Linked DNA regions of Coturnix japonica. The protein of the gene in region 1 purifies or fractionates together with the protein of each later gene. This does not show direct contact. Links are inferred from orthologs where the notes say so. Each region holds a gene or a part of one and is shown on either strand. Other genes may lie near its edges.

Region 1 (4,207 bases):
CCCCCAGGCAGCAAACAGTCCTCACTGCCTGCCCAAGGCCCCCAGCACCCCACAGAGCTCCCTGTGCCTCATTCCACCTGTGGCACCACATCTCTATGGCCCCATCCCATCTGTTGTCATGAGGGCTGGGGGAAGGGAGGGACTGGCTGCAGCCCCAGCCTGGGCACAAGGGATCTGGGCTCTTTTAACAGCGGAAATTAGAGTCTTATTTAAAGAACATGCTAATCAGAGCGAGCAGACGGCCCTGCAGCCTGCGCTCCTGGCAAGACACGGGGCAGCACCAGCACCTGGGGGTCCCACACCTTGAGCAAAGGCTGGGTGCCCTTCTCATCCCCTAGTCCCAGTGCCCCCATGAGGATGGGCAGAGGGGTGCAGGTCAAGGAGCAACCCTGACACAGGCAACCCTGACAGCTCCATCTGAGCTTGCAGGGATCCCAGCAGTGCAACAGGTCTCACACTGGGCTGGACTGGAAAAGCTGCTCCCCATGCAGAGAAGGCAGATCCTACAAGAAAGGTTTCCTCTGGGGAGCGTGGGAGCAGGAAGCCCAGCCAGGCTGCTCACAATGAGAACCTGAGCATCAGCAGTGCTCACCTGACTGGGTTTGTTTCCCTATCGGTGCTACCCATGTCACTGGTGGAACGAGATGAGGTCTGCCACAGAAGGACACCAGATAAGAGCTGTGTCATTCATGCGCAGCACCAGTCATTTGTGAATAAATAGGAAACCTCAAAGGTCGGCAGGGAAACCATGTGAGATGGGCAGGGGGCACCTGAGCAAGGGCTGCCCCCCATGGGGCTGTGCACAATGCAGAGCTGCATCCTGGAGACAGCAACTCTGGAGGATGCGCATGTTTGGGCACAGCCCCAGGGGAAGGCAGGGTGCTGCAGGGAGGGAAGTGGGAAGAGATGCAACAGTGGGTTAAGGGCTGGAGAAAATGTCTGGCACGAACACAGCCAGCTCAATCTGCTCTGTCTATCAGTGAGATGGAGAGGCGGCTCGCTGCAATGCCTGCGTGCCCGAGGAAGCAGGTGGGCCTCTGGAATCACACCGAGAACCAGCTGCTGCCGGGAGCAGCGAGGGCCAGCTCCGTGGGGGCACGGCTGGGAGCACCCCGGGAACAACCACTATGGCTCAGCCAGGGGTGGGCAGGGGAACGCCATCAGATGGCTGTGCTGTGCCAGCACCCCAGAGCCAAGCCACCTGGTTAAGGACACTGAGGTGCAGGCCCCTCCTCATTCCCCACGCCCACCAGGGATGGAATGAAGCAGGGCCAAGAAGGCGGCTGCAAATGCCCACAGCAGTAAAAAGCACTGTGGGGTGGAGAAAGGTGGGTGGAACATGGCCCTGTGCTGCATCCTCCTTGTGAGATCAGGGCACTGTCACCCCGTTAAGCCCCACTATAATCAGCGCTTGCCCTCAACCCTCTGTACCTGCAGAGAGCCCATCCAGACACCTCCTGTTCTGGCTGCTGTGGTTCCCACCCCTGCACCCTCTGCTCCTCCAAATTCCTTGCAGACACGGCACTGTGAGTATGGTGTGGGAGCAGACAGCGAGCATGGAGAAACCATGGCCTGGCAGAGATCCGGGAGCATCTATTATTAAAGATCCTGGCTTTATTAAATGCCTCCCTCTGCTCCCAGGTGCTGCTGCGCGCTCACAGCCAAGGATCAATAGGAGGAGTCCAGCCAGCAGCGAGGCCACGGCCCCACAGGAGTGCAAGGGATGGCTATGGGAGGGTCCTCTCTGCACGGCCACCACGGCCACACTGCAGGGCAGCACTCGGGGGGGCTGCAGAAGAGCTGGGGGGATCCCGATTCAGCAAAGCTGTTGTCAGAAAGGGCAGAAGCCACAGGAAGCGTAAGGCGATACAAGGCACGCTGAGCACAATAACGTGTGCACACACCTCTCCCCGGAGTGAACACAACAGGCAGGCAGCCCTTCGATGGGCTGGGAGCACCATCATCTCCACCAGGATCTCCAATCCCCCACCAGCACCACAGCACCCCACACCTGGGCGCGGCCACGCGTGACCGTCCCCACTCCATCAACCCGCGCCTGTGCCGACACAAAGGCGCCCCGCGACACAGTTCGCTTCAGCCGGACCCCGCACACCGCCCCGCCTCGCTCGGGCTGCACGGGGGGGGGGCGGCCGCACCTTCCGCCTCCGAACCGGCTCCGGGATCCCCCCCCACCCCGGGTCTTTCCGACCCGCCGGTGGCAGCGCTCCGGAGCTCCGCGCCCGGCCTGGATGTAAATATCGCTCCCCTCCCCCGGGGAACAACAGCAGCGCTGCCGCCGGGCAGCTCCTCGCCCTCGGGGGTCCCAGGCCTCCCCCCACCCCGTTCCGGTACCGCGACGCGCAGTCCCCCCCGCCCCCCGTGTAAGGGATGATGCTCGTGCGCCGCGCACACCTTGAACACCTCGGAGAAGAAGCCGGTGCCGATCTTCTCGCAGTAGAAATCGTCGATGCGCGCCAGGGTGGAGACGGCGCTGCGCAGCGCGCGGTACGAGGAGGGCCGCATCCTCCCGCATCCCGGCCACGGCCCCGCCGCCTCCCCCGCCTCGTTCTCGTCGGGCCGCTCCGCTCGCAGCGCCGAGCCGGGCCTCCGCGGCAGCTTCTCCCGCTCCATGTCGGCCCCGCCGAGCGACCCCCGCGCCATTCACATCCCCGCGGGGTCACGGCCGGGCCGTCCCGCCGCAGCCGGCCCGGCCCGGCCCCGCGACGAGCAGCAGCGGTGCGGGGGGGGCGAACGCAGCGCTCATGGCCCTGCAGCACCGACCCCAGCCCGGCCCGGCGCTGCGCCTCCGCCGCCCCGAGCGCTGGTACTGGCGGGGCGGAGCCGAGGCGGGGACAGCCCTTAACTCCTTGTCGACCACCGCCGCCGCTGGGCACAGAGACCCCACCCGCGGTGTGGGGGTTTCGATGTGTGGGGTCCGGTGTGGACGTCTGTCCAGCCCCTCGCCACGTGGGATCACGGGCGCTGAGCCCCCTACGAGCAGCGCAGCCGGGGATGGGCCCCGCCGAGGCTTCTGGTTCTGATCGCGGCTGTCCCAGCCCAGACGCGTGCTGTGGATCTGCCGCTCCCTGCCCGGATGGTGGCTCTGGGACTGTGGGAAGTGCAGCCCCTTGGTGACAGCGTGACCACTTTCCTTTTCTCCCTTTCCATGTCCTCCCATTTTCCTCCTCCATCCTGATCCTTGCTGATCCTTCCATCCTTTCCTCTCTGCGGCTCCCTGCATTGAGGGCTCCCTGTCTTGTACCCCCATGCCCTGTGCCAAACTAGCTGCTATCCCCACTGAGAAAAGCAGCAGCGCAGGTTGTCTCCAGTCGTGGTGCTTTTGGCCAGTGCCTGTCTTAGGGTTTTAGCCATCCCTGTCCATGGCAGCACCACTCCAGCCCAGTGCCTCCACTTGATGGGCTAATAGGTGCTGTGTGTCTGGAGCCACCGTGCAGCAGGATGTGTACCTGGGCATTCTGTGCATGGCATCCCAACATCTGCCATGCTGCCTCCAGCTCATCTGCAGTGCTGAAAGCTAAAAATACAGGTCCATGGAGCCGGGATCCAGGCAAACCTTGCCTTGGCCTTTCCTTAGAGTGTACACGAGCAGCAGCCCCACCAGGGTCAAGGCAGAGATGGAGAGTAAGGCATTTTACAGAGAGAAGCTCAGGACCACAGCCTGTTTCAGGCTCCTGCTGCTTACAAGTGGCTGAGTTTACATCCAATTAAGCTGTAACGGATAAATGAAAGCCCTGGAGACAGCCCTGACTGTGGAAATTGCCGCTGCAGGATTTTCAGTCCCTTCTCTCATCAGCACTGCTAGCTGTGCTGCACTATTTCCACACCATTCTACTCCTGCCTAGCACAGCCACCAAGGTCCCCAATGCCTTCAGCCCTCCCGTGGTGCCAGCAAGCCCAGCAACGTGGCTGGGCTGAGCAAACCCAAATCGAGCCCCTCAAGCCCAGATGAGGAAAAGCAGGGACTGTCAAAACCCACTGGCAACCTGCTCAGTGTACAGAGCCCAGAGGACAAGGGAGAACGCATCAGCCCCAGCAGTCTGTGCATAGCCGGGTCGTGCTCAGCAGCACGCAGCACAGGTGATGCAGCAGGACTACACTTCCCAGCATGCTGCATATCCCTCGTGTGCGCAGGGCCCTACACCCAGCAAGCTGCAGCAGCCTGCGTGCAGCTGGTTGCCGCTGCAGT
Region 2 (4,283 bases), on another chromosome or scaffold:
GCTGGTACAGAAATGGGACAAAGATCATAAAGAAATGCAGTTTTCTGAAGAATGAAAGCCAGCCGGCGTCAAAAACTGAGAACAGCTGTGTATCTCAAGGCCAGTCTTACTGGTTCCCCAGTGTAGTAACAGGAGCAGCAAGTTCAGGCCTAAGCACCAGCTCTACTGCCTTGAAAGGCACCTTTCCTGGTGCAGGGGAGTCAGGGTTTCTCATCTTCTTCTTTTCAAAATACTGTAAGACGAACTCCCTTAATGATCCCCCAGTCTTTGCAGATAACCTCAGCTCTGCAGGTAGAAGTGGCTTTATAGTCAACTAGGAGCGTGTGAGCTTCAGGGAGAAAGCTGCCCCAAATCACTGCAGCCTCTGGCTTTTCACCTTCCAGCAGCACGTGAGCCAAGCTGCTGAAGGCACAGCTGCTGCATCCTCCCAAAGGGACTGACACATCTACTGGTACACAACTGCACAGAGAGCAGGACTGCCACCCCTATAGGGCAAGAATTTGTTTATTGGAAATAGAGAACTTAATCAGACACTAATACAAAAACTTAAGGAAGGGGATGGTCCTGTGAAGGGCTGCAGCTGGACTATTCAATCAGACTTACAATGCAGTCCCTATATATCTCTGCTTGTGTATCCATCCCACCAAATATTAACAGCAGATGCACCATTGTGTCTTCAGTACATGCCTTCTCATCCTGGCCTCCACAGAGGTGCTCAGCTCTGTCACCAGCTGATGCAGTTGGCTCAGCTTTATCATCCCTAGTGACAGCTCCAGTGTCACCATTCTTGCCAACCCGCCAGGGAATGACACACATGGCGTGGTCCAGTCTCCCAGCAGGCAGAGGAGAATCAAACTGCAGCAGTGTCCACTTCTGCTCTTCTGCAGTACAAAAATACATTCACATCTTTAAACAGTGCTTTTTTAAACAGACTCAAAAACCACGCTGGATAGTACCATTGCTAATTATGCACCAGTCTGCAGTACCATCTAGCCGTAACAACAGAACTTGTACTGACATATTTCCAGTGCAGTGACACTAATTGCTAGGAGAATGAAGCCTAGGAACTAAAACCACAATGTATTTTATAGATTTTCAAACAGACTGGCATTTACCATCAGAAAGCTGAGAGAAGTCTCCCTACCTATATGATACTTGTATGTAGTATCTAGAGTCCCATCTGGACCTATTCCACCAAAAATGTATAAGTGATCTTTAAACACAGTGGATGAATGGGATGCCCGTCCTCCCGGCACATCACCAGTGGCTGCTATCTTAACCCACTTCATGTCGGCTGGTGGAGAACAAGAACAGATATGGTTATGCATTATTAAAAACAAACAAAACCAAAGCAAAACACTTCATAGCACAGCCATTGTTCTAAGGTACTTGTGGCCCTACTTACTTGTATCGATGCAGAACAGATCATCATAAAAAATATCACCAGCTAAACCTCCATGTATGAAGAGCTTGGTCCCAACTGCAACTATGACATGTCCGTGCCGAGGAGAAGGGGGGTCACCGTGGGTGCCAGGCTGGGTCCATGTCAAAGCATCTGAAAAATGGGAATGTGTGTGTATGAGGAAAACTGTCAGCTCTACAAACCAGCAGCCCCCGAGTCTCGCTGGGGTTCCCTCCTGGGGTATGCAGGACTATAGGAACAGACAGAATAATACCAACAGGTCATGAGAAGTCTCACAGCATTTCCTGTCCCAAATCATTATACTGCCACTTTGGCCCAAGTTCCCCATTGCAATACAGAGGTGAGCACATGTCAGCAGCAACCTTCAGCCCTCAGCAACCTTCAGCCCTCCATTGAAACTCGCAGCCAAGGCTGATGAGATCTGGGAGGCAGAACTTCAGAACAGCGGGCGGTTACTTCCAGTGCCGGTACAGCTCACGACACACTCAGGTACCTGTGTCAAAGACATGAAGCTGCTGGTCTTTAACCGGCTCCGCTCCTTTGTCTCCACCTCCGAAGACGTACAGACAGGTCCCTAGAGCTGCTGAGGAGGTGTGGAATGTCCTGGGCAGTGGCGGAACACCCGTCACCTCGGGACTCTCCCAGGTTCCTATTTCTAATTAAGACATTCAATTAATAAAGCATACACGAGGTCTGAAGGGCCGCTCCGCACCGCCGGCCCGGCCCGACACCCGCTCCACCGAGGTCCGGCATCCGACGAGGTGCCGGCACTCACCGGGGTCCAGCACTTGGACGCAGCTCCGGTTCCCGGCCGGGTGCGCGCCGCCGAACACCCAGAGTCGCGTCGGAAGGCGGGCGGGCAGGAACGTGGCGTGCTCGTAGCGCGGCCGCAGCCCGCTCCAGGCAGCCGGGGCCCAGCGGTGTGTGTCTGCGGGCGGGGCGGGGCCGTTAGCGGGGAACGGCGGCGGCAGCGGGGGCTGTTAACGGGGAACGGCAGCGGCTCCGCCCGGTCCGACCCGACCCTCACCCAGCTCCACGAAGTGCGCGTCCGCGAAAGCGCCCGCGGGGTCGGCGCCGCCCAGGAGCAGCACGCGGCCCGACCCGCCCGGTACCAGCACGCAGCCGTGACCCACGCGCCCGCGGGGCCATTCACCGCGCGGGGCCAGCCGGTACCTGCGGGAAGCGACGGGCGGCGCTCAGCCGAGGCCGAGAGCCGGCCGGGACCGCGCCGCCCCGCCCCCCGCTCACCACTTGCCCGCCCGCGGGCGGCTGCCCGGCTCCAGCAGCGGCGGCAGCAGCGGCCCCATGGCGGGACCGGGCCGGGCCGAGCTCCGCCCGCCCCACACGGCTCCGGCCGCCGCCAACTTCCGGTGCGCGGCCGGAAGTTCGCGGAAGTTCCGCTGGCGTCCGAGTCTCGCGCCGCTTCCCGGAAGTGGAGAGCTCCGTTTCCGGCTCCGAGCTGCCGTCCCAAGATGGCGCCGCTGGACCTGGACAAGTACGTGGAGATCGCTCGGCTCTGCAAGTACCTGCCCGAGAACGACCTCAAGGTGGGACCGGGCGGGGGGGGGCGGGGTCGGACGGGCGGCGGTGGACGGTGCCGGTGGTTGTAGTAGCGATGGCGATAGCGATAGTGATAGCGATAGTGATAGCGATGGCGATGGCGATAGCGATAGCGATAGCGATACTGTCCGGTGCTGTTGGTGGTGCTGGTGCACACCCCGGCGCTGCTGGTGGCGCTACCCGCCGTGTTCCCGCAGCGCCTGTGTGACTACGTGTGCGACCTGCTGCTGGAGGAGTCCAACGTGCAGCCCGTCTCCACGCCCGTCACCGTGTGCGGGGACATCCACGGGCAGGTAACGGGACACGCCGCGCTGCTCGGCCGGGACGCCCCGCGGTGCCCGGTGCCGCCGCCCGCGCTGACTCGTGCCCCTTCCCGCAGTTCTATGACCTGTGCGAGCTGTTCCGGACCGGCGGGCAGGTGCCCGACACCAACTACATCTTCATGGTATGTACGTGCCGGTGCCGCTTTGCTCCTCGCGCCGTGTTGGTCCCGGTTCTGCGCTGGGTGCCGGCCCTGGTGGCAGCGCTCTGCCCTCCCACCCCTGTGCTGCCCCCGGCTGCAGGGCGGGCAGAGCCGGGCGTCCCGTGCAGGGGTGAGTGAACCATTGCTGGGGAGCTGAGCTCGTTCTCACCGCTTGGCTCCCTTCAGCGTCAGGTTCCTTTGTGCAATGAGGAGTTAAAGGTGGATGTGTCACTTTGCATTTCTCCTTTTTGCTGTTTCTTCATTCATAATTCTGTTTTGACTTTGCAGGGCGATTTTGTAGATAGAGGTTACTATAGTCTTGAGACTTTCACTTACCTTCTGGCACTAAAAGCTAAATGGCCCGATCGTATCACGCTGTTACGAGGCAATCATGAAAGCAGGCAGATAACACAAGTGTATGGATTCTATGGTAAGACTTTACCCAAGTGATTTCTGAATGGGGGCCAGCATGCCATCAACAACTACCTCCTATTTCCCTTTTGAAATCGGCTTTGTGTGTGCACTGTTAAGTGGGGCTTTACTTGAACTGGGTGGGAAACGGTCTCAAATGTTATTTAACACTGTTGTGTTCAAGAAGTAAAAGCGTTTTAGTCCATCTCCAGACCATCTTTTCCTCCAGCATCTCAGTTTTTCTTTGCATTTTTTGATGATATGCTTTGGTATCTTTAAATAAAAGATTCTACATAATTCTCTTTAGGTATAACTGAGAAAAGCATTGTCATATATAGGCTGTAATTTGCTTTCTTCTGGATAACATGATATAGTGTGTCAACAAGAGCATATATAAACATTTGTAAGCCTCGTGAAGCTCCAAAG

Evidence for each region. Proteins that work in one complex are often made in the same cells at the same time.
Region 2: the proteins of TESK1 (region 1) and RABEPK purify together in Homo sapiens (affinity purification with mass spectrometry; 3 studies listed by BioGRID and IntAct, with this or other methods). This does not show direct contact. The link is inferred for Coturnix japonica from reciprocal best matches to the Homo sapiens genes TESK1 and RABEPK.

Annotation. Positions count from the first base shown.
Region 1 is NC_029547.1:8,287,924-8,292,130, reverse strand, and holds the start of TESK1 (dual specificity testis-specific protein kinase 1), read right to left. Parts: upstream 2,801-4,207; 5' UTR 2,662-2,800; coding exon 2,413-2,661; intron 1-2,412. UniProt on the Homo sapiens protein: Dual specificity protein kinase activity catalyzing autophosphorylation and phosphorylation of exogenous substrates on both serine/threonine and tyrosine residues.
Region 2 is NC_029532.1:8,074,501-8,078,783, reverse strand, and holds RABEPK (rab9 effector protein with kelch motifs), read right to left. Parts: upstream 2,801-4,283; 5' UTR 2,731-2,800; coding exon 2,672-2,730; intron 2,597-2,671; coding exon 2,451-2,596; intron 2,352-2,450; coding exon 2,199-2,351; intron 2,079-2,198; coding exon 1,917-2,078; intron 1,556-1,916; coding exon 1,406-1,555; intron 1,295-1,405; coding exon 1,145-1,294; intron 882-1,144; coding exon 586-881; 3' UTR 478-585; downstream 1-477. Other genes in the region: PPP6C (serine/threonine-protein phosphatase 6 catalytic subunit), read left to right, coding at 2,896-2,970, 3,181-3,276, 3,363-3,428, 3,735-3,876. UniProt on the Homo sapiens protein: Rab9 effector required for endosome to trans-Golgi network (TGN) transport.